4 separate regions of the Mus musculus genome follow, and all the other regions are reported to be linked to region 2. Evidence: microRNA targets listed by miRTarBase, many of them from high-throughput screens and not tested one by one. Region 2 holds a microRNA gene; each other region holds the end of a gene's coding sequence.
The links. Region 2 holds the annotated microRNA mmu-miR-105 (CCAAGUGCUCAGAUGCUUGUGGU, at 4,321-4,343, shown strand). A microRNA usually pairs through its seed, bases 2 to 8, with sites in the 3' UTR of a target mRNA and lowers its output. Matches are read on the target gene's strand: a 7mer-m8 pairs with bases 2 to 8, a 7mer-A1 pairs with bases 2 to 7 and ends in A, and an 8mer does both.

Region 1 (7,832 bases), not on the chromosome of region 2:
CCAGCCTTTTGGGAAGACAGGGAAAACAGGGCTGGGAAGACAGGGAAAAGTGACTCTGATCACTGTGCCTTGTCCCTGAATCTCCTTGGCTTTCCAAGGCACTGCATAGTCCCTTCACGTCTTCCCACTTGCTTTTTATGAGCTCTCTTTTTCAGTCCATATTTTCTGAGTATTTCTCAGAACCCTCGACTTAAACAAACATCACCTCCTGGATGCTCGCTCTGCCCACGGTAACCACTGCACTTTGCCTTCATCGGCCATTTCACTGTGTATTTGAAAAATCTCTTCTAAAACAAAACCCCAGACTGGGGATGAGGTTCAGTGGCGTTTGAAGGCTCTGGGCTTGGTCCATAGCACTGCAAACAAACAAACAAATCTACACGAGAGGAGGGCATTGCATTCCAGATTGCTCTCTACCATCCCTAACACCTAAATGTGGGTATGACACACAGTAGGTATTTGACAAATATTTCTTAGTTGAACTCTCTATGCAGCAATATTTCTTAGATGACAGCAAAAGTGTGAAACACCAGCAACCAGTTCTAGTAAATTAAGCACACACAAACAAGCTTAGTCCACTTTTAAATTCTCCTCTAGAGCTGGCCTTGGAGAAACATGCTGCAATCCCAGGCAGCCTGGTCTCCAGAGGGAGCTCCAGTCAAATACATTGCGGTGTCAGACTGTCTCCCAACAATACAAACTAAAAAGTGAACAAATAACAAAACAAAGTTAACCCTGCTATTGTGGTTATGGACCACACCCTACTGATGGAGCTCAGTAAGGATGAAGAACGCTCAGCTGACCCAGGCTTAGGATAGGCCGTACCCATCACCGTGGCCAAGCTTAGCATTCTATTAAGGACCAGATCGCTTTATAGTTATTTGTCTTGATGTGATTCAAAGATAATGTATCTTACACAGATTCTTTTATTTGGAACTATAAACCTGGAAGGGATAACCTACGCACTATTTATTCCTTTGTACCTTAAAACGCAAAGGTACAAGGTACACAACATAATGAAATAATCACAGATCCCCTCACAAACAGCACATTTACAGGACTAGTGTGGAATCATCAATGGTGACATACAAAAAGGAGCATGCCATTCCCCATCACAGGACATGTACACACCTGGGAGGAGCCCACCTCTTCCTACAGAGGGCTTTTGGAACAGATGGAAATCTGTTAGGTCAGGCTGGTAGAGAGTGGACAGGGCTTCAAAAAAGTGTAGCACTGGACCATCAGCTGCCAGCCGCCTGTCTCAGGCATCTCCACTTAGTTGCAGACAGTAGTCATTTCGATGTTCCTTGGACACTGTGATGCCTGTCGGCTTCCAATTTTATCATGCACATGTTCAGCTTTGTGCCAACAAAGAATTGTTTTGAAATGGAAAGGAAGTGTTCCCTGAGAGTAAGAAAGTAAGTTCACTTTTGGAATGCTTTTTTCTTTTTCTTTTTGTTTTAACATATTCAAAAGCCAAGTCTTTGTTTTCCTTTAAGCAGGTAACCTGGGCAGACTTCTACTGGGATATCTGCAGCACCACACTTTTGGTTTTAAAGCCTGGCTTGTTGGATATCTACCCCAAACTGGTGTCATTACGGAACAAAGTCCAAGCTATCCCTGCCATTTCTGCCTGGATACTAAAGAGGCCACAGACAAAACTCTAGATGAATCAGGACCCATCATCAGATGAGAACTCCATTAGCTGGCTAGAGGATCCACATACTTCTCACCAATAGGACTGTAACTTTGTAGTACTCTGCTTGCTGTGTATAGCAACTCAAGGGGTGTTGCAGTTTTGTCTTTATCTGCAGGCACTTAGTTTCCAATCTTTTATTTTTTCAAAACTTTACACTTTATAATTGCAGGGAAATAGTTCACAATATATGTAGTTGTGCATATCAAGATGTATGGAAGCTTTAAACAACACTAGTTTCCTGGCTAGGGTATCAGTCAACACAGTATCTTAACTATGAGTAAGCATAGTTAACTATGAAATACAGATTTTGCAGCTAGCTCTTCAATCAGCAAATTCCTACACAGAAACTAATGGTCATTATAATGATCACTAACTACTGCATGTTATTCAGGTATACACCAAAGTGTATAAGCTACTTCACAAAAATACACATCTGTCTGACATGTCACAAAATGGGTAATAAAGAAGAAACTCATCAAGATTAAAGGACAGCCAAGAAAAGTGATGTTGAAGTTTAATTGAAATTCCACAAAATGGAGTAACAAAAAGTTACTGAGTTCAGCATTGTTGCAATTCAGAAGGCTGTAGAGACAAGGAAAGGAGCTGTGACATAGAAAGTTCGATACCCCAGAGACAAGAGACAGAGGGTTACAATAATCTTTCACATGAGAAAAACAAAAGCAGGCTGGAGAGATGGCTCAGCAATTAGCACTGACTGCTCTTCCAGAGGTTCTGAGTTCAATTCCCAGCAAACCACATGGTGGTTCACAACTATCTGTAATGGGATCTGATCTTCTGGTGTATCTGAAGAGAACGACAGTGTACTCACATACATACAATAAAGAAATCTAGCCGAGCGGTGGTGGCGCGCGCCTTTAATCCCAGCACTTGGGAAGCAGAGGCAGGCGGATTTCTGAGTTCGAGGCCAGCCTGGTCTACAAACTGAGTTCCAGGACAGCCAGAGCTACACAGAGAAACCATCTCGGAAAACCAAAACAATAGAAAACCAAAACAATAAAGAAATCTTAAAAAACAAACAAACAAACAAACAAAAAACAGTAGACTAAGAAGACTGGGAGAACATGTGTGCAGAACATTCACCTGGTAAAGATTTGTTTAAAATATAAAAGAACTGTGAAAATTCAATAGTAAAAAAAAATAAATACCCAGATTGAAATGTTAGCTGGAAGATACACAGATGGCCATGAGCCTGTGAGGAGGCAGCAATACAGTGGCACTAGGGAATTATAATAGCAGTGCTGACTAGAACAGTAAAATCTCAAGACCAAATAAACACTGGAGAAACACTGAAGTTATGGGACCTGGGGACAGGAATGCAAAAGATGGCACTGAGAGAACTAGTTTCTCAAAAATTAAAATGTCCCCTTCTGTGGGGCCCGTCAGTCTCACATTGTGTATTTACTCAATGAGCATGTCCACACTAAGCTTGAACATATATCTTGGATGCTGCTTCACATACAGCTGCTAAAACTTTAAAAACCTCAAAGATGGCCTTTAGCAGGAAATGCAGAACAATCCTTGGTGCGTACACATCAGGGCTAGTAAGCCACGAACAGTACATGGGTGAGCCAGTGCCACACACAGCTAAGTGAAAGGAGCCAACACAAAAAGGCTCCAACTATGCAAAAGAAGAGGATGAGAAGCTGCCCAAGCCAGTGGTGACATGGGCAAGACGGGAGGCAGATGGGCAGTCCGGGCAGTCTGTTCTGTGGGATGCTGTCAGAGAGAATGAGTACACGTCTTTACATTTATAAACTTACTCAGAATGCAGAACACATGCAAACTGTAGCGTATGTAGCACATGTTAGCAACAGAGGAGACTGTAGGTGTGGGGACAGCAGGAAATGGGACTGCTCCTAGTGTTGCTGTGAACTGAAAAAAACAAACAGTCTGCGATAATTAGTTTTTATTTGCTGACAAAGTGTAATAGATACACAACAGCTTACAGGGAGGGAAGATTTGTGTGGCTCCACTCATTGGCTCCACTGGGTTGGAACTGTGGAGCAGTATGTGCCAAAATGACTGTTTACTTACTCATGGTGGCTGAGAAACAGAGTGGAAAGCACCTCTCTACACAATCTTCTAAACAACAGGCCAGTGAGCTGGCTCCATGGATAAAGGCATTTGGCGCCAAACCCAGAAGGCCTAAGATCAGTCTCTGGCACCTACATAATGGAAGCAAAACACTGACTTTCACCTACTGTCTGTCCTCTGCCCTCCCCTTAAGCACTGTGGCATTTGCACTTATACTCATTTTATTTTTTTTTTTTAAATGCAACCATTTTATTTTTGTTTATAAAGGGTCTCCTAATTAGCAATATTACTCCCCAGGACTGTTTTGGACTGTTTTCTCACTTGGTATCTGAAGGCTGACTGGGATGCACAATGTGGCCCAGGCCCAAGCTGGCACTGCACTCACTGTAATCTCGTTTCCATGCTGCCGAACCTGGATCCCTATTTTAAACTATATTGATGGAATGCACACTTTGCTTTGTATGTTAGCTTCATTAATGTTAATAGTGTGTGTGGTATGTTGCAAAATGTATGGAAATACTAATAAAGATGATCTTGTGCTTTATGTGAGATTCAGAAGAACATATTGCTAAAAGGCAAAAAATAAAAATAAAAAAGGAGATTGTAGGGAGAGAGAAAGAAATACATGTCCAGATAGGTGTGCTCTTATTTAACATCTCTTCTTTTTTTAGAACATTTTCTCTGATTTAACAGGGCTGGGGGGGGGGGGAACAGAGGACAAAATTTTGTATGTTAAACATAAAATGCATGAACTTGATCTTTTAAATAAAATTTTAACATTGGTGGCTGTTAAAATAAAAAAGAATCTCGTTGCATGGGTAGACATTGTGTGATTAAAACAATCAATAGGAAAAAGTCTTTAGGGAAACATACAAACAATGCTTTTAATGAAGGTGGAGATGACCCTGATGCGCAGGTACTTCCCTCTGTATTACCTTCCATAAAAGATTATCCTTTTTGTTTTGTTTTGTTTTTTATTTGGTTTTTCAAGACAGGGTTTCCCTGTATAGCCCTGGCTGTCCTGGAACTCACTTTGTTGCTAGGCTGGCCTCGAACTCAGAAATCCGCCTGCCTCTGCCTCCCAAGTGCTGGGATTAAAGGCATGTACCTTCACTGCCTGGCTAAAAGAGTATCTTTAATGGAAACAGAATTTAGGAAAAGTAATAAACACAATTCCTATGGGAAAAATGGAAACTCAAAATAGTATTACATATTTCTATGATCAGTGTAACATCAGCATGCTCTATAGGGCAGTATTTAACATAGCCACAATGTTAAGTCAGACAGCCACTGAAGAAGGTAGATCCCTTCTTTACAGGCTGCACAAATAGAAACCCAATCTTCTGATCCACCCACACCTTGACTCTATTGGAACTCCTATCGGCGAGTCACCTGTCCAAGACAAGACACATAAGGTGTCTTATTACACATATATGACTTATACTAAAAAAATAAAACCTATTTCATGATGGGTGGTGGACATCTTTAATCCCAGCACTTGGAAGGCAGAGACCAGCCTAGTCAACAGAGTTCCAAGACAGCTAGGTCTATGCCAAGAAATCCTGTTTTATAAAGGAGAAAATAAAAGCCTACCAATGGACTGTGATGTTTAATGACACTGGCCCAATGAAAGGACAATTGAGGATTCATTTTATGTACCAAATCCCTATCCATTGCCAAGCAATATCTTAAACATAAGATGGTCCTGTTTCTGTTCAATATTACATACTTCTCTGGGGAAGGAGAACGAGGGCTAAAAACCATTACAAAGGGTGTGAAATACAACTTAATGATCACAAATATTTTTATTAAACCCAAGACATAATAAAATATTACAGGGAGAATCCAACTACATTTCATTAGAAAAAATTCAGATATAACAACACCACAACCAATGAGCCTACTGTGGGAGACACATTTCACACAGAAAAGTTAAGGGAAATTCACTGTGGGTTTAAAAGGTACAATTTCCAACAACTTGACTAAGCGACCTGGGTACTGTGATCACAAGGAGGTAGCATTAACACCTGCAAATTCCTGGCAGCCCCGTAGTGGGGAGATAAATTTGATACAGTCATATATCTTCAATATTAAATCTACTGAGTCAGGAGTTCAGAGTCTCAGATACCTGAAAAAAAAATAGCACTGTAGGATTGTGTCACCCATCTAAGTGTTTACCTAGCACCTCAGCACTGGGGGTGTCTTGAAAAGTATGAGCTACAATAATTAACAAATCTCTCATTTATAAATAAGTTTATTTATAATGATATTTACATTATAAAACAAAGCACATAAAACTCACAAGTTATACAAAGAATCTGATGTATAATAAAAACAGCAATATAGACTGACAGGCAAAATTTAAATGAAAAGTTAATAAAGACTGAAATACCAAATAGACAATTTTACTTCTAAATTTCACTTTGTCACCCACACTGAACTGGAATTGAACAATGGCTTCTCTTCAGGTGGTTCTGTATTGGAAATCCTGGGAACTGGTAAATTATATTTTGTTAAGAATTTAAAGTTAATGACCTATTTTCATGCAGTATCTAGCATTACCTTGGTATGAAGTCACATCCAGTTTCCTTTGAAGTGAAAGTATCTTTAAGTTAATCTGTTCTGCTGGACTAGAAATATGCCACCAACATCTGCTGATCTTGGTGATTCAGCAGAAGGAAATGTGTAAGAGAAAACTGGAGCAGAAGTGACTGGGCAATGGTTAAGAGAAGCAAAAGCGGGAGAGGAAGCTGATAGCAACACACACAAGCGAAGGCAGAGTTAATGAGCCAGAGGTGCAATAAGAAAATGAAAGAAGGAACTGACCCCCCAGAGCAGGAGAAAGGCTTCAGTTCCTACTCACTGGAAAACAACTTAGTGCTTAGCCAAACAAATGTGTTCTAACAGGAGGAAGAAGAGGACCTGGGGACATTAGTGGATGGAATGCCACCTTGTGATTCAGGCTGAGTTCTTACTGACATTGGTGAACATCTGCATCAAATAGCAATAAAATGAAGACTGAACAACCTATACAGCTGCATTCTTTAACATAATAAAAACTTCAAATCAGACAAGCAAAACAAGACATAAACATTGTCAAATAAGGCACATGTAAATCTACACACATTATCCAGTGAAAGACACTATATATATATATATATATGTATATATATCTGGAGGTAGAAATAATTACAAAAATACTGACATTTCTAAAGCATTAGCATATTTGTTACAAACAATCACCAACTAACCCCATTCAGAAAACTGCTTTGAAAAATGATTAGTCAACATTTTCAGGATGTGAGGATCTGGAGAATCCAGTTAGTGGCAAAAAGTTGTCCATACTATGTGAAATGCAACATGAAATTATAAAAAATTACAAATGCTCAGAAACCCCATGGTCACCGTGATGTGAATGTCCTTGAATGCACCAAGTTGATATGTCCTCATCAATCAGGAATTCCGCGCTCTCCTTCACAGGCCCATTGATGTTTTTAGTAATGTGGCTATATCTGCTGGCATACTTCCTTCATCAGCTGCAGGGCAGAAAATAATGTGAAAGTTATGCAGAAATATCCGGGCTTCTAAGATGTATCTTCCTCCCAACCTTTCTTCTCTTTGGTGAATTCCTACCTATAACTAATTCCTAGTTTGTTTTGGTGTCATCTCATTAAAAACCTGACCTAACCTATACAGCTGAGTTATTTACTTTCCCACTTACTGGTAATAGCATAGCTGTAAAGTCACAACTATTTCTGATGTGTGCAGCAATAAACTACAAATGGCTGAAATGCAGCACAATGAATCAAATCTCTCAAAAATCTGAGACAATCAAAACTACAGGAGTACTTTCATGTGTTCTACTCTCTGGGTAAAAGATGCATACGTACAAGACACTGAACACTGGACAAACTGTTAAGGAGTTTACAGATACCCTTCCCTTCAAGCGTATTTAACAGACTAAAGACAGCCCATGGCATTAAGATATCAATTCTCTTAAAACTAACTGGCATTCCACATCCCACTAGAGAAATGTGGAGAAAAGACTATGGAGACTCTTTTAGTGTCTTTACTAAAT
Region 2 (7,000 bases):
ACCTGAGTGCTCAGAGTCCCAACCCCCATTTTTATAGCTGTGTGACAAGAGCATTGCTGACTATCTCTCTTCAGAACCAGGTTGACCTTTAGAGAACTGTAGTTTGGCTTTGTTAATTTTATAATATGTTCTTGTGTATTACTGATTACTAAAAAAATTAAGAGCTTATGCACATGACATTACTATAAATCAGCATGCTGTGTTATGCTGGCAGCAACCCCAAATGCTTTGTATTACTGTATCTCTTGAATGCATTGCTTTCTGGTGCATAACTATAGTTTAATGCTTATTGATAAGTTCTCATTCTAATACATAATTGTTACTATAGTACAATATGGATGTCAAGTTACTGATCACCTCACAGGTGCTGAAGTTTGTCTTTTGGAACAATACCATTCACTATTGTCTCCAAGGGCTATGAACACAAAATATAATTGCACCCTTATTTGCTCATATTTCTAGAGGCTATAACTGCAAAATGAAAATATTGGCAGGGCTATGCTATTTTTGCAGGTTCTGTGGAAAAATTTAATAGCTTTTGTTAGCTTCAAGAATTTCTTGGCTTGTGGCATCATCACTAGCTCTGTTGAGACATGCTGTTATCTTTTTTGTTGTTGTTCAAATTTCACTCTGTTTTTTATACAGACAGTAGTCACTGGATTTGTGGACCATGCAAACATATTACTGCATTTTCTGTTGATAAAATAGAATAGATGTGATTGAGTTATTTATAAATAAAGGAAGCTTATTTACCTCATAGCTCTAGAGCATGGAAATCCAAGAGAAGATAGTCATAGCTGAAGATAGCCTTAGGCTACATCCAACATGATGGTAAAACAGTAGGGATATAGAAACATGTAAAAGAGAGAAAGCTCTAGGAGCACATTCAGTTTATGACCCAGACCTGCAACACCTATACCACTTCCGTGAGATTGATCCACAATCTAAAGAATAAAAAAAAATAAACTAATCCCATTTAGCTTCTTTTTTTTTCTTCTTTAATATTTTTAATTAGGTATTTTCCTCATTTACATTTCCAATGCTATCCCAAAAGTCCCTCATACCCTCCCTCCCACTCCCTTACCCACCCACCCCCACTTTTTGTCCCTGGTGTTCCCCTGTACTGAGGCATATAAAGTATGCATGACCAATGGGCCTCTCTTTCCACTGATGGCCGACTAGGCCATCTTCTGATACATATGCAGCTAGAGTCAAGAGCTCTGGGGTACTGGTTAGTTCATATTGTTGTTCCACCTATAGAGTTGCAGATCCCTTTAGCTCCTTGGGTACTTTCTCTAGCTCCTCCATTGGGAGCTCTGTGATCGATCCAATAGCTGACCATGAGCATCCACTTCTGTGTTTGCTAGGCCCTGGCATAGCCTCACAAGAGACAGCTATATCAGGTTACTTTCAGCAAAATCTTGCTAGTGTGTGCAATGGTGTCAGCATTTGGAAGCTGATTATGGGATGGATCCCTGGATATGGCAGTCTCTAGATGGTCCATCCTTTTGTCTCTGCTCCAAACTTTGTCTCTGTAACTCCTTCCATGGGTGATTGTTTCCAATTCTAAGAAGAGGCAAAGTGTCTACACTTTGGTCTTCGTTCTTCTTGAGTTTCATGTGTTTAGCAAATTGTATCTTATATCTTGGGTATTCTAAGTTTCTGGGCTAATATCCACTTATCAGTGAGTACATATCATTTGAGTTCTTTTGTGATTGTGTTACCTCACTCAGGATGATGCCCTCTAGGTCCAACCATTTGCCTAGGAACTTCATAAATTCATTCTTTTTAATAGCTGAGTAGTACTCCATTGTGTAAATGTACCACATTTTCTGTATCCATTCCTCTGTTGTGGGGCATCTGGGTTCTTTCCAGCTTCTGGCTATTATAAATAAGGCTGCTATGAACATAGTGGAGCATGTGTCCTTCTTACCGGTTGGAACATCTTCTGGATATATGCCCAGGAGAGGTATTGCAGGATCCTCCGGTAATACTATGTCCAATTTTCTGAGGAATCGCCAGACTGACTTCCAGAGTGGTTGTATAAGCCTGCAATCCCACCAACAATGGAGCTAAAACCATCCAGTGGAAAAAACACAGCATTTTCAAGAAATGGTGCTGGCACAACTGGTGGTTATCATGTAGAAGAATGTGACTTGATCCATTCCTATCTCCTTGTACTAAGGTCAAATCTAAGTGGATCAAGGAACTCCACATAAAACCAGAGACACTGAAACTTATAGAGGAGAAAGTGGGGAAAAGCCTCGAAGATATGGGAACAGGGGAAAAAATTCCTGAATAGAACAGCAATGGCTTGTGCTGTAAGATCGAGAATTGACAAATGGGACCTCATAAAACTGCAAAGCTTCTGTAAGGCAAAAGACACCGTCAATAAGACAAAAAGGCCACCAACAGATTGGGAAAGGATCTTTACCTATAAATCAGATAGGGGACTAATATCCAATATATATAAAGAACTCAAGAAGGTAGACTCCAGAAAATCAAATGACCCCATTAAAAAATGGGGCTCAGTGCTAAACAAAGAATTCTCACCTGAGGGATACCGAATGGCTGAGAAGCACCTGAAAAAATGTTCAGAATCCTTAATCATCAGGGAAACGGTGAGATTCCACCTCACACCAGTCAGAATGGCTAAGATCAAAAATTCAGGTGACAGCAGATGCTGGCGAGGATGTGGAGAAAGAGGAACACTCCTTTCAGCTTCTTAAAAGGCCATGTATTCTAACATTTCACAGTAACTTTCAGATTTCAATATGAGTTTCAGGTGTAAGACATACTCAAATGTTTATAGCATAACTTCATGTTGAGTTTACTACCAGAAGACTCAGTTGCATATGAGATCACAACCACAGGTATTGAGAATGATAACTTCAAAATCTCTTTGGAGAGGACATAATTCAATTCATAACAGCCTCTGTACTTGAAGACATACGCTTTTGTATTGTGGCTTTTAATTTTTTTTAAATTTCATTAAGTTAAGTTTGATTTGTATACACACATACACTCACACACATATAGTCATTTTTTACTTTGTAACTATAAATATATAGTTCCAGAATGCAAATATATATATACATACACACACACACACACACACATACATATTCTTGGGTATAAGTCTTTTACTACATATTTGCAATCCAAATGGAGGTCTAGAAAAGGGCATCAGATTCCCTGGAAATAGAGTTATAACTAATTGTGTTTTAAAGGTATGAATCATAATTAAGAACTCAAGGTTAAGATGTTCATCTGAACATTTAGCACAAGGTTTCATTTTGTACCGTTTACCTCTTCTCTTGACTGAAAACTTTATTTTGTTTGTGGATGTTGAATTGAGCTTATCTTTCTGTCTCGACCCACTACTGTAGTTTATCTGATTGCTTATTATATGTGTACACTATCAACCACTATTGTTATCTGAAGATACATGATGGAAACTACTAACCCATCCTAAGTATAAAAGACAAAAAAATTCATGATTTCCTTCGGAATATAGAATGATTTGCATTAGTATGAATATTAGTTGTAATATTGTGGCCAGTAGATCTTGTACAGGGAAGGATCCCTCAGTTTATGCTGACTGCTCATATACAGTTTCTATTATCAATACTAATAGTTGTTTCTTCATATAATGGGATACCTTTGATTTTTTTTTTACCAGAAACAAGCACAAATCCACATATGCCATGGCCTGATTTCATGTAACTTGATTTGGTTTCATTGTCATCCTCTTGAAGCAGAGGTATCCATTGCTTATATACTTTTCTTATTAGCATACCATGTCTGAGTAATAATCACATCACGGTTTATTTCTGTAATTTGTCGACATGTACTGGTATTACAATTAGTAGCCTGTGTTCTGTAGGTGTACGGCTATATATTAGAAACATATATTCCAAGACTTTTTCTTACATTTTAGTCATCTAAGCATCCTATACTATTCAGTTATTCTCTTAGACCAATGGCATGCATTCATTCTTTTAATAAAGTTGAATGGAGTTTATTATTTTATTATTTTTGGCATCACATGCATTTCATTTTTCATATGTGAACTGAGTCATTATCCAAAATGGTTACATAACTAAAAATTTTCAGTCACGTGTTTGAAGTTGTTATACGATTTGTATACATAATGACAGTCTGTTTTTTTCAGAAATGGAATATTTTGCTCCTTTCATGTTAATCTGTACACTGTGTGCTTTCCTACTAATATGAGTTTCTCTCTCCTTTGTCATTGATGTCTTCGCCTGTAACATGGCATTAACACCTGTTGCAAGATGCTCTGTGTGTGCATTTTAGCCAAGTGCTCAGATGCTTGTGGTGGCTGCTTATGCACCACGAATGCTTGAGCATGTGCTATGGTACCTACTTTTACAACATTGCCATCTGCTTCTGGAACAAAGCCATTCATTACTCTGTTTTTAAACCATGTTCCATGGCTGTCTGTCAGGTGACTCACAGCATATTGTCATTTATTATTGTACTTAAAACGGTGGGCGGTGAAGCCAAAATATTTGTGTTTGAATTTGAAAGTATTGATTGTTAACTGTGGGGTCTTGAATACCTCAAATTGCATTTCTGTTCTTTTATTTCCACAAAATGCCAAAGATGTCTCATAAATCTGTACATATTAATACATGATTGCATTTCCAACACTGAGTAGAATGTTGTGAAGTATATGTGACAACAGTAATGGTGGTGCTGATATGATATTCCTTGATTTCTTGTCATGGGTGCCAGTCTCAGTTCTGCAGCTAATGTACATGTCTTTATGGTAAAACAATGATACTTGCAATAGTGTTTTTTTTTTCTTCCATTTTTTATTAGGTATTTAGCTCATTTACATTTCCAATGCTATACCAAAAGTCCCCCATACCCACCCACCCCCACTCCCCTACCCACCCACTCCCCCTTTTTGGCCCTGGCGTTACCCTGTACTGGGGCATATAAAGTTTGCGTGTCCAATGGGCCTCTCTTTCCAGTGATGGCCGACTAGGCCATCTTTTGATACATATGCAGTTAGAGTCAAGAGCTCCGGGATACTGGTTAGTTCATTATGTTGTTCCGCCTATAGGGTTGCAGATCCCTTTAGCTCCTTGGGTACTTTCTCTAGCTCCTCCATTGGGAGTCCTGTGATCCATCCATTAGCTGACTGTGAGCATCCACTTCTGTGTTTTCTAGGCCCCGGCATAGTCTCACAAGAGACAGCTACATCTGGGTCCTTTCAGCAAAATCTTGCTAGTGTATGCAATGGTGTCAGCGTTTGGATGCTGATTATGGGGTGGATCCCTGGATATGGCAGTCTCTACATGGACCATCCTTTCATCTCAGCTCCAAACTTTGTCTCTGTAACTCCTTCCCAGGGTGTTTTGTTCCCTATTCTAAGGAGGGGCATAGTGTCCACACTTCAGTTTTAAAGACTGTGGCATAAGCTTATGCAATGGAGTGCTGACTCTCTTTGAATCAATGCTATCTGGAGTATTCTATTAATCATAACATGATTATTTTCTGCTCTTCTATAATCATTTTTCCCTAATATACTTGACCATCTACTCTTAAGCTATAGTCAAACTATTTGCTTGTAATGTCTGGAAATACACGTTGGTGCAATGCTTCATCATCAGAGAATTGTATGAATATATGTTGTGTTATTGCCTTTAGCATCATTGCCATGTCTTGGTGGCCTTATGAATGCTACCTTTATTCTCATCTCTTGTTTATCTTGGCATATTCCCGTGTTATTTGTTCCTGTATCACATCTACTTTTGTATTATAGAATCCATATAGGTTTTTACTCATGCACCATGGTTGTCTGAGCACATAACATGCTTGTCTGCTCATACCCTATGGTTCCTGAAGAGGAATCTTAACTGTCTACTGCTCTATAGGAAAACAGTGTTTTATGTATCAGTTTATATTTTTGGTTGCTTTTTCCTAGTACATGGACCTCTGCTCCCTTAACATACTGGTGTTTTTCCTGTACCATCTCTATCTGTTCCAATTCTATGGATGTTAACTTGCCACTAGACTTCCTGTGCATCATAGTCCAGTGCTCAAATAAATCCCATGCACTATGACTGCTTAAGCATGTAACAATAGTTTCTCATGTGTTTTATCAGTATGATCTTCTCCTAGTCTGAAGGGAACCATGATTTACTAATTTCAAAATGATTCCATGTCTACTTGTTATAGCATAATTTTTAACTTATACATATCACAAAACTATATAACTAAGCAGCATGATCAGATGCTCCAGAACAAATGATGTCTATTTGTATATCATAGTCATATGACCATCTGGGCATATTCTGCCAGGTCTCCCTTTACATATGTGATATCAATTCATAGAGTAAAGCTTTTTGTTCCTGTATCATAGCTCATTTATAAGATTTATTTTGTGAGATCCTATCAAATGTACAAACAATTCTCATGGCTTTCATAACCTCTGGATTTCTGTTGGATTTCTCAGGGTGTCTTGACTACATGATCCTGAATAAATGTTCATGTATTGAGGTGTTTATTTTTTTAGCTTTGTAACATAACATACACATCTGTGAATTAGCTACTCATGGCTATTTTCTTTTCTTTTTTGTTAAAATATTTTTATTAGGTATTTTCCTCATTTATATTTCCAATGCTATCCCAAATGTCCCCATACCCTCCCCCCACTCCCCTACCCACTCACTCCCACTTCTGGCCCTGGTGTTTCCCTGTACTGGGGCGTATAAAGTTTGCAAGTCCAATGGGCCTCTCTTTCCACTGATGGCCGACTAGGCCATCTTTTGATACATATGCAGCTAGAGTCAAGAGCTCCGGGGTACTGGGATAAAAGGATACAATAGTCACAAGGATACACAAGGATAAAAGAACCTCTGGTGGTATCACCATGCCTGACCTTAAGGTGTACTACAGAGCAATTGCGATAAAACCTGCATGGTACTAGTATAGCAACAGACAAGTAGACCAATGCTGGAGGAAG
Region 3 (7,832 bases), not on the chromosome of region 2:
GCTCTGGCTGTCCTGTCGCTCACTGTAGGCCAGGCTGGCTTGAACTGCAGGGGTGTGCTGCCATGTCTGGCACTCCAGAGAACTTTGTATGTATCACTATCCTCGGGATTTCTTGCCAAGCTGATTTTAGAGAACCCTGCATTCCAGATGTTATTTCTTAATGTAAATTTCTGCTGACTGTGTGAAACACTTTGGCTCGGGTTTGACATGTTATGAATTGCAGTGTTTTACTGACATACAAAGTTTTCTGCTCTTGGGGAAACCGTGGAAACCATGTTTCAGTTATGGAGGAAAAAACATATCTTTCATTCCCCAATCAGTAGGTATCAAACTGATACCCAATGTAAAGTTTTTACAGTCGTATGCTTATATACATAAACAGAAAATGCATGAAGTCATACATTTCAAGGGATTTCCTCAAACTACAGATCATCCCGGTCAAGACTCCCAACACTCTAAAGTCCTGTATCCCTCCTAATGGCTCCCAGCCCAAAGGGTCACCACTACCCTGCCTTCTAGACGCATGGGCTCAGCTTCTTGTATTAGTTCTAAGTTTCCTAGTTAGTATAGGATATTCATTGTGAGGGTTGCTTGTGTTTTAGTCAGTCTTCCTCAATCTGTGTATAGGTCTGATTTTAAACAGTGGATCTAGTTTTACAAATATTTTATGTTCGAATGATGTCCAGTATGGGGCCATGGCTGTGCTTGTTTATGTTTGGGGAACTGCTACACTTGTTCAGTTAAGTATACTGTTTTTTAAAGACAAAAATCCCAGCTGTCCAATCTTACTAACGAAGACTCAGGAGCCAGGTCCTGAGCTGAAAACCTAATAGTTCAGAGAGGCAGAGAAAGCACCCAGCTGACCTTCCTACTCCCACCAGTGTCCTGGAAGGCTAAAGCCCTTTTACCTCAGAGGCTATTCCCACCCCTTTCTGTTGACTTGTGTCCACTCTGTCCGCTGGTTGCTTCTTCCACCTCTTCACCTATGGCTGACTTTATTTAGCTCCTGGATTAAATTTAGGCGAGTGCTAGAGCTGAGCCACACCACAAGCTTTTTTTTTTTTTTTTTCCCAGAAAATAACACAATCTTGGGGTTCAGCCTGTGACCAAATATCCTGCAACAGTATATGTACTTTTACACACCCAGTGGTATTGCTGGATCACAGTGTCGTTTATTCCCAAACATGTTTAATTTATCCTGAGTGAATGTGGCTGTCTGTAACCGCTCAGCAGTTGTCACCAGTGCTCACGGTTTTCATGTTAATCATTTTGAAGAGTATGTTAGTATACTCCTTGCTATTGTGAACTATCCATATCTTTTGCCTATCTTTTTAATGAATTGTCTGCCTTTGTAATTTTCAGTTTTCTTTCTATATTCTAGATACAGGTTTATAGTTGAATAGATTGATCTCAGATGTCAATATTTTCTGTATTTTTCTTCAAGTGTTTTTGTTTAATGTCCTATTTTAAGAAATCATCCATCTGGAATTGATGTCCCACTTATTAAAAGACTATACTGCAGGAGCTTAGAGACCTCCAAAAACATGAGTCTCAGCAACTCGGGCAGGCTTCAGGCCCTACTTCTGCCTCCACTGGCCTGCCTTGGTTCCTGTACAAGTCCATATCACAGATTTCCACACCTGCCTCTGCTAGTCAGTCTTGGCCTTTTACAGCCAGTGGACACCTGGGTCTTGTAGTTCTATCTGCTTCTGTGGGCAACACCAGTTCCACTTTGCTAACACATGCGCCCTATACTATACCTAATGTCAAACAGCTGGCTGCACTGAGCAATGAAAGAGCCTGGAACAGTCCAGGTATCCAGGGAGAGAATGCAGTGAGGTTGATTCCAGGATGGATATAGAAGGCCAAACACATGTGCATTTAGAGGAAGGCCTGAGATGCCAGGTGGGGACCTCATTATTGGAAAGGGGAATGACTCTTTTCAGAAAAGTTAGGGATGCCTTGATATATCTATATCTGTGAACTAAATCATATAGTATTTTTTAATGTCAGAAACTGGAACCAGTTTAAGAGGGTTTTGGGGATACGGGTGTTTTGTTTTCTTTTTGAGAAAGTACCTTTAAATGGCCAGTTAGGTCTTTGGTAATGATGCCGATTAATCCTTGGTGAATTTAGAAGTGTGCTCAAGTCTGGGTCTACAGTGGAACAAGAATGTATTGTGCAAGCCTATAATTCCATCAGTTGGGCTATGAAGGCAGGAAGAACTGTAGGTGAAGGTCTCTTCAAGTACATGGTAAGTTCGAGGTCAGTATGGGCTACATTAAATTCTATCTCAAAAACAATATTACCTAGTAATATTTAGAAGTTTTATATATATGTATATATATATATATATATATACTTAAGAGGATCCCATTTTCACTTCAATACTTCATATCCTATAGCAGTGGTTCTCAACTTGTGGATCATGACCCTTTTGGGAGCTACATATATCAGATGTCAACATTATAATTCATCGCATTATAACAAAATTACAGTTATAAAATATCAACAAAATAATTTTATGGTTGGAGGTCACTACAACATCAGGAACTGTACCAACGGGTCACAACATTAGGAAGGTTGAGAACCACTGGCCAAGGGGGATTTAAGTTTAATGCAAGTCTATCTAGTATCCCCAAAGACAGTAGAGTGAGACAGCTGTAGTCCTGAGTAGTCCCAGGTGAGGCTGCTGTTGTATGTCACGGTTAAGTAATGAACTTTGCTTGCATACTTTCTTTTTTAAAAAAACAACACATTGAATTATTTCCTTCTAGGTCATCAGGTTTTGTAGTAAGCACACTTATGTGCAGAGCTGTCTCACTGGCCTTGCTTACACAATTTAAAAGGTACTGCAATGTTCCCAGGTTATTGTTGCTGTAGATAATCCTATGAACCCCTAGGACCACTGGCCTTTGGGAGTAGGGCTCTGTTTCCTTCCATTTGAAGGAGTTAGTGATAATACTATAAAGTGTGAGTCACTGGGTAACAACTAGCTGTACATTCTGGAACATTTTACCTGGGTTGGATAAGAAACTTATATTCACTTACATGGAGCCTGAGTATGCATTGCATACCCAATGAGAATTTAGTATCTCTTGCACGCTCTCCTAGTTCTGACTGGCAGAACTTTTTGAAGCAAGGAGCAGGGAAGGTTCTTGACTGATATATAGCAATAAAACAAGAGGTTAGCCTGGTCCTTGTTGAAATGGGAAATGCTACCTACGGGCTCTTTGATGCCACTTTTCCTCTGTCTTGTCTGTCTCTGGCATGTACCTTTTAGGAACCTTGAAGGTAAGTCCAAGACTTGCACTGCTGGCCTGAAAAGGCAGGAGTATCTCTGCCTGATCTCTAGCTACCCTTCAAATAGGACAGAGCAAGAAATGGTAAGAGCAGTAGTGGAGCCAAACCCATATTTGAGGAGAGGTGTCTCTTAATAATTATTGCCATGTTGGCCATTGGTCTTGCATGAACTGACTGGGGAGTGTCAAGAATGAGCCCTGTTGTTTGAAGCTTGTTGTATCCACAAGTTTGCTAGACAAGGCTGGTCCCAACCAAGCATTGCAGTGTGACTTAGCAAGAATAGAACTGAGGTAAGGCTGTGTCGTGTGTCTTAAGTCTCTACCTTTTTCATTTTTACTCTTAATCATGTGTATCTGAGTATGGTTTTGTGCACATGTTCAAACAAGGCCATTAGATCCCATGGAGCTAGAATTACAGACAGCTGGGAGCCACCTAGTATGGGTACTGGAAACTGAACTTGGCTCCTTTGGAAGAACAGTGCACACTCCTTGATTTTTCTAGCACCATTCTCATATTTTGAGATATGTTCTTTTAACTAGCCAAAAGCCCACTAATAAACAGCAAACTCTGGGATCCACCTGCCTAGCCATTTTGCCTCTCTTGCGCCCCCCCCCCCCCCATGCTAGGGTTAGACACATATGCCAATCTCAGCTTTTATGTGAATGTGAGAAATCTGAGATCATGTCCTCATACTTGTGTGACAGGCACTTTACTGAGGAATTTGCTGAGCCCCCAAATTTAGTTCTAATTTACATTTCTCTGATGGCTAAGGATAATGAACATTTTCATATTTACAAACCATTTCCACTTCTTAATAACTGTTTGCTCATCTGCACAAATTGGGTTATTTGGTGTGGGTTTCCCCTAGGTTATTATTTTTTATTCTTTATCATGAATATTAACAGTTTGTCAGATGAATAGTGAGTATTTCATTCTGTAGACTGTCTTTCCATTCTATTAGCTTTACTGTGCTGAGCTTTCAATTTTGTGTAATCCCATTTCTCAGTTCTTGCTCAGCTTTCCTGGGCTGCTGGAATCCTGGTCAGTATTTGTTCTATTCCTGTATTGTTCCTGTTTTCCTGTAGAGTTTCAAGGCTTCAAGTCATAAATCAACATCTTACCTTCTTTGATCCATTTTAAAACTGTTTTTTTGTACAAGGTGAAAGTAAAAGTAATTTGAGGGATTTCTTATGTCCCTGTTGCTCCCAAATAACTTCAGGGCATTGCTGTGCCACCTCTAGCCCATTTTAGCTCCCAAATAAATGAAACAGAGACATGGTATTTTTATTAACAAGCTGCATACACTATGCTGAGCAGGTTCTGAGCTGTTCTAACTCTAAGGCTGCCTGTTTCCCAACCATGTGGTCCTTTACCTTCAGCCTGAGTCTTGTCTTTGCTCTTTCTTTCCTCATGACTTTGTGAACCTTCCTGGTTCATCCACATCTGTAACTTTAATGTTTTTCAACACCCATTTTTAATGATGGTTCTTGAACGCTTTAACATCCCTTTTGGCCCACCTCCCACTAGAGGTAGTGGGAAATACCAGTGAAGACTCCAGACCCACAAGTGTTGCACAGCTAGGTATATAAGCAAGCCCAACCAAACCTCCGTCACTGTCTGCTGGGCCTAACATCACAGGCCTCTAAACATCCCAAGTCCTCTGCGGGCCTGGGTCTTGTCTCAGCATGAGCATCTGTCTCGCTGACATCACTTTGCCAATCAGCCCGAGTCCATTGAAGAGGTACGAAACTGCAGCACACCACAAGTTTTTTGGATCGTTTCTCGGTTCGTTTCTCTCTATGGAGTCTCTACTCCACCTCCTTCCCTGCTTGTTTCTGTAGTGCAGGGATAGAAAGAAAGAACCCAGGGCTTTAGGTCTGCTGGGCCAACACTACCGACTGAGCTACCTCCCCAGTCCTCTTCTGTCTTCTTGGTGATTGTTCCCTTCATTGATGTTTAGTGACATTCTTTGTCTTCTCTGACAAGCTGCTTCAAACCTAGCTTTTATAACTGACGGACAAAGCTACACCTACTTGATTTTGTGCTACTTGAGAGCACGTGGCTTCCCATTCTGCCACTTTTAGTCTATGAGTCTTTGCCAATGAGGTCTCTTGTAAGACAATACTTTGTTGATCTTTTCAAGAGAGAATTTTTTTCTCTGTGTAGTCCTGGCTGTCTTGGAACTCATTATGTACACCAAGCTGGCTATGTAGACTCGGATCCTCCTGCCTCTTCCTCCCAAGTGCTGGGATTTAAAGGCATGCACACCCAGTGGATCATGTTTTTGAGATAGTATTTTTAAATTTTATGTTGAGCCCATTAAAAGTTTGGGCTGAGGATATTTTCTCATTACAGTAATTCTGTTGATTCTCTGGCTGGCTTGAATACTATTTTTTCTTCCTTCCTCATTCTATAGCTCTTCTGGTTTACTGAGTTGGGCATGGTCTGTCTCTCTCCTGGCTCTCAGTTCCTCTCCTGGAATGTATTCTTTGTTGTGCTCTTAGGTCTGTGACTGCTGCTTCCTGCTCTGTTTTGTTTGCAGGACTCCTTTAAAGAGCTTCTATGTTGGCTTGGTGGACATAGATTGCTATAACTTGTGCTCACTTGGAAGACTTAACCATATTTTTTAAAATTTTCATTCACATAACTTTATTTGAAACCAATTTTGACTGTCCAAGGATTAAAGTTCGAAAACAAAACAAAACATAAACAGCCAGTGTTCATTCTAATGGCAGAATAGAAGTCCATGGATGTTAGATTATTTTGGGGCTTGGGAGAGTCAAGGAACTTTGTTGCTGCTATTGTGATATTCTCATTTCTTTGGTGTATTTAGATGTAAAAATGCTGGAACTTTACCCTGCCTTCATCAGGAGAGAACCCGGTTACAGGTTATCCCCAAGGCTGGCTTCTGCTGTACCGGCAGCAGTGAGGTAGAAAAGCACAGGACCTCATTTCTCTGGTTTCTGCGTGCAGTGCAGTGTCCAAGTCCTCCCTGCTGTGTCACCCAGTGTGGGTCCTGGGAACCAAATGTTTTCTGTGTGAGCAACAGATGCTCTTTTGTTCGTTTGTTTGTTTCCAGAGTTTCTACTTCTATGTGTATTCTTGGCTGTCATAGAAGTAGCTCTGTGGACCAGGCTAGCCTTAAACTCAGAAAGATCCACTTGCCTCTATCTCCAAGTGCTGGGATTAAAGCCATGTACCACCCAACTAGCAACAAATTCTCTTAACTGCTGAGCCATGCCTCAAATACCTATATTGGTATTTCAAATAATAGAGTATCCAACTGTTTAAGTTTACAAAAAAATAAAATAAAATAAAGAAGAAATTTTTATTTGTAATTTAAGTGTGTTTTTTGGATATGATTTTTTAAAAATTTTAGTAGAAAATAATAAAAAATGAAATAGCTTATGCTGAATATAACCTGGCCCAAGGGAGTCACATTTACTTCAGCCGGTCACATGGAACTGTCTCCTAAAACAGGTTGTCTACAGCTTCTCAATCAGCAGGGCGGAAGCACCTCCTCCTCCGTTGCAAATACTAGCCAGACCGAACTCTCCTGGCTTCAGGGCATGAGCCATATGAACAACAATCCGGGCTCCAGACATCCTAGGATTAAGAAAGCATTTGGTTCTTTAATCAAGAACAGAATTTAGGACTAACCAGAGAAGTTTCTATTCCAAACTAACTGCCTGAAAATCCAGTACTTGTGGGTAAGTACTTTTAAGTTTAGACAATGAATTTCAAGAAGTGAGTGATAACTCTTATAAAAACCTGAACTTTTTTACTCAACGCTGTTAGTGTCCCGGACAGTTTTATGTCAACTTAATACAATCTATAATCATCTGAGAGGAGGGAGCCTCAATTGGGAAAATGTCTCCCTAAGATCACGCTGTATAAAAGCCTATAGGATACTTTCTTAGTTACTGATGTGGCGGGCCTGGCCCCTTATGGTTGGTGCCATCTCTAATCTGGTGGTCCTGGGTTCTATACAAATCAGGCTGCAAGCAGTAAGCAGCACCCCTCCTCTATGGCTTCTTCATCAGTTCCTGCCTCCAAGTTCCTGCCCTGTTGGAGGTCCCTGACCTCACTCCCTTCAGCAATAGACCACCATGTGAAAATATAGCCCAAATAAACCCTTTTCCTCTCTCATTTGCTTTTGTTCATGGTGTTTCATCATAGCAATAGAAAGCCTAAGGCAGTCGTGTTTCAAGCCACAGAAGTGCTAACTGTGTTCACTACTGGATATTATCTCAGAAATATATCTTAGAGATGGACAGAAAGGAAAACTGCTAATCAAAACAGGAGCAGTGGTGAAGCAGCTTACAGAAACACAGAGGCAGCTACTGGCCTGGCTCGCATTGCTTGTTAGGTACTCACCCAATTGGATGGCCCAGAGAAACAGCTCCTCCGTGGATATTTACTTTTTGGGGGTCAATCTCCAGCATTTTAATGTTGGCTAGCACAACCACACTGAATGCTTCATTTACTTCCCACATGGCAATGTCTTCTTTTTTCAGTCCTGCATATTT
Region 4 (7,832 bases), not on the chromosome of region 2:
AAGCGTTGGGTAAATGTTCTTATTGTGAGAATGATGCATAAGAAATGTTGGAACAGACAGATGTAGAAAGAATTCCCTACTGAGTCCCTAGTCTACCACTTAAACTTTAATAAGGAAATTTGGGCCACACAAACTTTCCGAAAAGGAAGTATACAAAATTTTCATATCAAATTCTTCTAAATCTTCTGTCGTCTAACTACATCTATTGGAAGAATGTCAACTCCCTCCATCACTTTATCAAAACACAAAACCTATGTATGTGTTTATAAATTCATTGAGTAGGTATCTTTTAGTTGGCTTGTTAGAAGCTAGAGACACTAAGGAAGGTCCATGCGTTAGCCTGATTTCTGGATAAAGGTTCTAGGCATAATCCAAAGTCTAGAACACTTCCATGAGACCAAAGTGATTCTGAAACTCTGACTTGCTTCAGGCATTATCCTGATCTACAGTAATCATGTGCCCGTGGTTGACCACCATAGCCATGGGTTCAGAAAATTTAGAGCATTGCCAAGCATTCATCAAATGCATCCTATTTAAATAATAAATCACCTCCCCACTCTTTCATGGCCTAAGTTGACCTAATTAGGGAAGACTTGCCTTTTTAAGTGATACCTTCCCTGAGGATCTTCCTGAAGCAGAACCAGGCTTTAACAAACCTCTGCCTACACTCTGCCTTGGGTTTGCGCAAATGTAAAATCAGTCTGCTAAAAGTTTCCAAGGACAAAAAGGAGACCTCACAATATTTCTACGTCTTCCAAAGGATTCCAGCATCTAAACAAGGGATCATGCACAGCGAGAGGGACAGCTATGAAGCCGATGGGCCTCTAATTCCCGAGATCTCTGAGACACTGGTATGCCACTCAGGGATGCTGGAAAAGACAATGGCATACATACATACATACATACATACATGCATACATACACACACACACAGGGACATGACATGTAGATGACTATGACTTGTGAAATGTAGAAATTATTACATCCTGCTTGATCAATAGCCATAGGCATACGAATTCTAGAAATTTCACATGGCGACCAACCCCTTTTCTCCATCACATGCCCCCATCCCAATCCAACATCTGTAGACTTCATACCTAGACTAGTTGGAGTTCACTTAGGGTTTGCTCTTCAATTTGTCCTAATCCAATGACAGTGGTAGCTTAGTACTGTGAATAACATCCCTGAATATTTTCACAGCAAATTGGGCAGAAGGGGCATGGGTTTCCTCAGAATATGAAAAAGAAGAATAATATAGAAACAGGACATTCTGCTTTCAGATTCCTGAAGGGCTGTATCCTAGGATATCGGCATCTTGCCATGGCTAGAATACATCCCTTCTCTCTGTTTTATCTAGTGGTATCCTATCTCTCCGTCTCATCATTGCCCAGCATTTGAAGTGACATGGTGACCCCAACCCTGCTATTTTTCACTGTAGCTTCTTCCCTGTGTTGGCTTCAGAGACAGCAGAGGTTGATAAAGTCCTCAGTGACACCAGGGTTGGAGATGGGTATCACCCATCTTAGCAAGTGTTCTGCCCACTGTGCTTTGAAGTCATGAAGTTAGGTAGCTGATAAAGCTCCATCCACTGGAAGCATTCACAGTGAAACCTCGGGCTGTGTATGGAACATTGATTTTTTTTTCCCCAAGGAGAAAAATAAAAGAACAGTTCCCCTCACAGCCTACTCGCAAACAGACACAGCCTTCCTCTCTGCCCGCTTTAGGAAGAAAGAAACCTCTTCTGATATGAAAAAAGTTTACAGAAACAACAACAACAAAACAAACAAACAAAGAAAAATCCCATGGATCTTTAGTTTCACTACTGCTGTTTGTCTAAGGTCTCTGGAGAAGCCACACGTTTGGTGCATCTGTCTCCTTGGATGTCAAAGGACTTTGTGTATTGGCCGCAGCTTCCTGACAGGGTTCTGGTGGGAAGGTGACTCACAGGTGGAAAGGAAGAGAGAAGCCAAGTTCTCTACAAAGACTTGACTGACTGAAATCTAGAAGGCCACGGAGAGTCACTAACAAAGCACCCCTGCTGAATGTCAGACTAGATGCTCTGGCCCTGCCATGGTGAGGGAATGAATGAATTCCATTGAGAACAAGTTATTGTAACATATTAAGATTTTGGGCTTAAAAACCAGCCTTTTCAAGACTTTGGGAAGATAAATGCCATCTTGCATTATAGAGAGAATGCCACTCCAACTAAAAGAATTCCCTTTGACTCATTGGAGTTTCACTTGGTAAATAAATCTAAACGTGATTGAATGTTTTTCTAGCTACTCATTTAATGATGCAATAAGACTTATCCACCTCTTCAAGGGCCTCTCACCCCACCCCACAGGCTGCCATTTTATTTATCTGTAGTGCCAGGAATCCAGCCCAGGACTGGTGGAAGCTAGACAAATGCTTTACCAGAGAACTCCAGCTCTGACTGGATCAGCTAACTTTATCAGAGAAGCTGGGAGGTGAAGCTTTCCTGGAGACTGCTTTACTCACCCACCCCACCAGCCTCCCAGAACCCCCTTTTTATAGGTTTGCTTGAGTGCCTCTTCCAGATGAACCCCAGAAATCTGGAGGTGAACCAGCGGGCTCTGTGATGATGCCCAGGCTTGCCAGCTTTTCCGAAGGACTGCATGACTTCAGTTCACTCCCCCCTCCCCCCACCCACACCCCCACCCCCACCCCGTCTCTGGGTCTCTGTTTTCTTTTCTTTCCAGAAAAGAAACAACCAGCAAAGTTCCAATTTGATCTTAGAAAGTCTCTTTCCAAGAGAACTCCAGCTGAATATAATTCCTCTCGCTGCTGTGCTCTGGAGAAGCACAGGTGGAATTCAAACCCACGGTTTTCATCAGCCAAGAAGCTAATCCCCAGGGGAAAAGGAAGCACTCATTAGTGGGCTCCTCTCTCCCCCATCCCTGCCAAACGTCACCGCATCCCTCTTAGGCTCTACTCTCCTGAGACTGAAGCCCTGCCGGACCCTTAAGAGTAAAGAGAAAAATCTGTCGCAAGCACGCAAGCGCACTGCCAGAAAGCAGAGTTTTTTGGAAACCCAGAAGGAAGTCTGACTGAAAAGAATGAGCTGCCTGCGACCCCCCCCCCCCACACTCCGCCGTGCCCCCCCCCCCCAAGCTTCTTTAACTGCTGATCTGAATCCCAGAGGAGGGATGGAAGAGAAAGACTGCTTCCTGCCTTTCTGTTTTTTTGCCAGTTACTGAAGCAGCAATCAATTGTGGAGCCAAAGAAGATGAGAGTTCAACCTATTAAAAAACGACAGCTGCTGCCTGGCAGTGGTGGTTTAATTAATGCTTTGATCCCAGCACTCGAGAGGCAGAGGCAGGAGGATTTCTGAGTTCGAGGCCAGCCTGGTCTACAGAGAGTTCCAGGACAGCCAGGGCTACACAGAGAAATCCTGTCTCAAAAAACAAACAAAACTGCTTCACTGCAGTTGTAGCACTCTCTGAACAGTTTCATTCAGTGGCTTCTCCCATCCCAGCTCCCTCTTAAATACATTGCACTGGTGTTCTCTGAGCTTGGACCTTCGTTTTCTTGGTACCACCTCAGCATCTTCACCATTGGACTTGTTCTTAAAACTTAAAAAAAGAAGAAAGAAAATCCTTCCACCCCCATCCTCTCTCTCTCTCTCTCTCTCTCTCTCTCTCTCTCTCTCTGTCTCTCTCTCAATGAGGGAGATCCTGAGGCAGAAGGTTGAAGTTTGCTCAATAGGAAATGGTAGCCAAGTGCAGGCCAAGTACCAAGTACCATGTGGAAGGAGCCAGGGCTTTAGGACACCCTCACCCTCACCCCCACCCCCACCCTGCAGCCACTGCCAGTCACACAGTGGCAAGCAATTCATTAGGTGAAGTAAAATACCCATACAGACACTTTTCCCATATACCTCACTCAGACAGTGCTTTAAAATGTTAATAATTTAACAGGGGATGAAAAAGAGTTGCAGTGAGCGGCCTAGGATGTTGGCCATGCGGGTCGGAAGACTGTAATTTGACATACCATGCCTCAGTTAGGATAACAGTAATCCTACAGAGCTAATATTTGTTCAGTGCTGGCCATCCCTTCAGCCTCTCCTAGAGAAAGGCAGTGAAGATTCCAGAAGCCCAGCAAGTTCCCATGAGTCTTTGCTGATAGGACCATTTGCAATACTGTTTGGGTCAGTCAGAGAAGGGAAAGTTTGTGTGTGTGTGTGTGTGTGTCTGTGTGTGTGTGTGCGCGCGCGCGCGCGCGCAAGGTGTAAATGTCTTAAATCAGCTCCCGGTGACTCTCCTTCTGGGGCACTCAGCCAGTCCTGAGCTTGGAAGAAGAAAGAGTTCTCAGTGTTCCTTAATAAACAAAATACTCTGAGCAAATAAAAGGCACCAGCAACCTCCGTGGAGCAAGCAGGCCTGGCTAGCTTAGCAGCCGCTGGGTGAGGCGCAGTGAATAGCTGCGGTGTTGGGGGATCATCTTTCCATCACTTCCTCCAGCCCAGTACTATGGAGAAAGCACCTCTCACCATGCCATCAGCTTAAACTGTTGGAAGCTGCCTAATGGCCTGCCAGAGAAGCAAGGATAATGACCTGCCTCCCTGGGGATATCTTCAGGTATCAAGAAGCAGAGAGGTTGCACTGCATGGGGGGACAAGACTTAAAGCTTTTGTGTTTTCTTAACACAATCCAAAAGCAGGATCTTTTTAAATGTACAAATGCATATTTTATTAAGTATCATGTATCTCCTTTCTAATTCTCTATTTCCTTCATATCATATAACCTTCAAGGTCAACCAGCCACAAAAGCATCTTTTAAAGAAATGTGCCGAGTTTCCTGTTTAAATCAAGCCAACACCCTCCTTTTTTTTCTAAGTTTGACCTTCCTAGAGAGCCATTTTTTCACCACTTCCCTTCAGGATTATCACCTCTTGGGGGTTTTCAGAAATAATTCACAAGTCAGTACAGTAGGGAAAAATATTTATTTTCTAAAATCATTACCTTGACAGGCAAAACAAAGCATGTTCTCAATTTCATTCAGAAATATATATTTTTAAAAAATACATAGACCAATATGGCCTGCCCAGACATATATTTAACATGGTAAATATAAGGAATAAATTGTTTGAATATAAATATCTATAAAAAAATAAGTACATCAAGATTCAATCTAACCTCTTCCATTAGCCAGTTACAATACATACGGGAACATATTTTTACTGCTAAAAAGCACAGACCAGGTTTTCAACATGTACACAAACAACTCTAAACCATTGTGTTTCCCAAGGTCAAGGGCAGGGGCCAGATTCTGTCATCCTTTTTTCTCATAGATTAGAGCTAGCAGATTAGCATGGCAATGTTTCAGCTACTTCTGACTCAATTTCTGTGAGGCAAGGATTCAGTATAGGGGACTGGGAACCCGGATAGCGGAGAGGAGAGAATACAGGGAGGCAATAATTAAAGGTGAGAATGTGTATGACAGTGCAGAAAGGTGAGGTAGACTCATATTCATGAAATACATCCCAATGTACAGTAGTAACAGTTGCTTTGAGTTTTGCATTTTACAACTTAAAAATTGTCTTTTTTTTTTTTTTAAACTCAAGTGTTTGTCCTTCGAGTATGTTTTCAATTTGTGCATTCCTCAGAAAAATTTTTGCATGGACTTTGGAGTTTCTCCCTGAAATGTGCCAGGCGCCTGAGTCAGACACGAACACTCCCTAAGGACTTTCTACAGAAACCCCGCCCTGCTGTGGAATCTCCTGGCTCTCTGAGTGATGCCACTCTAGAATGGCATCGTGTCTCTGCTCTCTGAGAAGTCCTCTGTCATTCCCAACCGGCAAGAAGAGGCAGAAAGGCACTCGCTCCCAGCGGACGCAGACAGGCTAGGGAACACCTCAGCCTTTCTTGGAATGTTTGGATCAAGGATGCTGGTCCTCTGCCCGTCTGAACAAGAAACTGTAGAAGCCACACAGATGGTCTTGCTAAGATCCCAGCCAGCATGGAGAGTGCAGAGCTGGCCATGGGGCTCGCACTATATAAGGGATGACTTCCAAAACACTGGGGGAGCTCTGTAGTCAATGTGCTCGGTTGTGCGTCAACTTCTGGTCTCTATAGAGCTCAGCTTTCAACTTTGCAACACGAAAAGATGCCTTGATGCTATTGCTGATGGCCTCCAACCTATTAAGACAAGACAAGAGAAAAATAAATGTTATCTAAACGCACACTCACAGAGAGGGAAACAAATCACAACTTGGCTAAAGAAATGTCTAAAATTAGGAATTGGCACCAACACACCAAGTCTTAGTTCCTAGCCTTTTACACCAGTTGTGGCAATGTGGTGCTCTTTGGTAAATCCTCAAGCAGTGTCTATGACTATTGTGTGAATAAATTCTGTTTTTATGCTTAGTGCTACAGAGAGGAAACCTATGAGCATGTCTACAGGGAGTTAAGCATCAAATGTTATGCTTAAGCAGTTTCATCCTGCCCTCTGCCTCTGTATCCTACCCTCTGCCTCTGCATCCTGCCCTCTGGCACACTGGCACTTTCTAAATCACATAAGGAATGAATGTAACAGGTGGATGGAGAGAAAAATTAGAGAGCCTACAGGGAGACCTGAGCAAGTGCTTAGTGACAGTTTAAAGAGTGGTGCAATCTGTGTGTGTGTGTGTGTGTGTGTGTGTGTGTGTGTGTGTGTAGGAGCACATAAAGAACTGGAATGTCAATTATCAGTTTAGTGGTAAATGGAAGACAAAGCAGCAAAAAGGTATTGATCCTCAGGTCAGCTCAGCAACTGTGACCTGGTGGAAAGAGACCCCTAGGTGGCAGGTGTGAAGGAGGCCAAGCATGGCTGTCCCCACACAAGAGCAGTAACCAACTCAGAAGTCCTTCCCCACGGCCACATTGGGCTCAGAACAAACACCTTGACCCTGGATTTCTTGGAGACACTTCTAGAGATGAGAGTGACCCTGTGACAGGTTTGAATAAGGGCGCCTTGACCACCCCCACCTTCTCAATTTCAAAAAGTTTAGACTTTCGAAGGATCATTGAAAAGCTGCTTGTAGGTACCCTAATCCAGCCCTCTCCTGTGCCAGTGAAAGCAAGTGAAGGAACATCTGGCTCTAAATGTGCTCATTTCAACCAAAGTAACGGAATAAACCCAAAAAGCAGTGTGCTCTAAATCTCACCAACCTTGCCCAGTGGCTTTGCTTCCCTTTGGTCATTTGATGAACTACTACTTTTGGAGTAACATATATAAATATTTTAAATGCCTTTTCCTTGACATGATCTTTAGTTTCTCGAGGAAATCAGAAAAAGAAAAGAGCCAGAGGAGGAAAGACTGGATATGCTCAAATGTTAAAGCTGCCCCTTAGTGTAGAAGCTCTACCTATAGACTGAACAGTGTGTGCTAAGACACAGTGGGCAGGTGTCTGCACTCAAGGCGCCAGTATCCAAGGAGCCCTTTGCTCTTTTAAGTCCACAGACCATGACGACTCTATTACTGGACTCAAGCCTTTCTCCCACTAGAAAGGACTGGGGAGCCATTAGCACTGGCGTCCAGGGGTAGGAGTCCTTATGAGCCTCTTACCTTCGTAGTTTCCTTCCTTCCACCAGCTGCTGATAGATACACTTCTTTCCCAACTTGGAACAGGGTTTTCCTTTCTTGGAGTCTTTTAAGCTTTTCTGCATGGTACTTTGGGCCCTGTGAAGACAGAGGAGCAAAACCATTTTAGTGGTGGTATGTTGAGATTCACCTTGCCTCTTCATGTCTCTGCTCCTTTCTCTTAAGTGAAAAACAGTCTCACAGGGAGAAGGCCAGCAGGCCGGACAAGTCAAAGGGGCCTCCACTCACCTG

Region 1: the mRNA of Hpgds is a reported target of mmu-miR-105. Seed matches in the 3' UTR shown: 7mer-m8 at 2,584-2,590.
Region 3: the mRNA of Acat1 is a reported target of mmu-miR-105. Seed matches in the 3' UTR shown: 7mer-m8 at 6,478-6,484 and 7mer-m8 at 5,543-5,549.
Region 4: the mRNA of Edn1 is a reported target of mmu-miR-105. Seed matches in the 3' UTR shown: 7mer-A1 at 5,579-5,585.

Annotation. Positions count from the first base shown.
Region 1 is chr6:65,113,759-65,121,590 of GRCm38, reverse strand. Hpgds (hematopoietic prostaglandin D synthase) reads left to right here. Exons shown (of 6, transcript NM_019455.4): 6 at 1,503-4,298. The coding sequence ends at 1,667. Smarcad1 (SWI/SNF-related, matrix-associated actin-dependent regulator of chromatin, subfamily a, containing DEAD/H box 1) reads right to left here. Exons shown (of 24, transcript NM_001355250.1): 24 at 5,542-7,290. The coding sequence ends at 7,229. Among named protein-coding and RNA genes, the nearest start is that of Hpgds, 27 kb to the left of the region's middle.
Region 2 is chrX:72,588,890-72,595,889 of GRCm38, reverse strand. Mir105 (microRNA 105) reads left to right here and starts at 4,311; the gene lies at 4,311-4,390. All of the region lies in intron 1 of Gabra3 (gamma-aminobutyric acid (GABA) A receptor, subunit alpha 3), which reads left to right. It overlaps Mir767 (microRNA 767), which reads left to right and starts at 5,796; the gene lies at 5,796-5,902.
Region 3 is chr9:53,575,757-53,583,588 of GRCm38, forward strand. Acat1 (acetyl-Coenzyme A acetyltransferase 1) reads right to left here. Exons shown (of 12, transcript NM_144784.3): 11 at 7,681-7,832; 12 at 4,766-6,909. The coding sequence ends at 6,789. Among named protein-coding and RNA genes, the nearest start is that of Acat1, 31 kb to the right of the region's middle.
Region 4 is chr13:42,305,102-42,312,933 of GRCm38, reverse strand. It overlaps Edn1 (endothelin 1), which reads right to left. Exons shown (of 5, transcript NM_010104.4): 3 at 7,830-7,832; 4 at 7,566-7,679; 5 at 4,944-6,157. The coding sequence ends at 6,055. Among named protein-coding and RNA genes, the nearest start is that of Edn1, 7.5 kb to the right of the region's middle.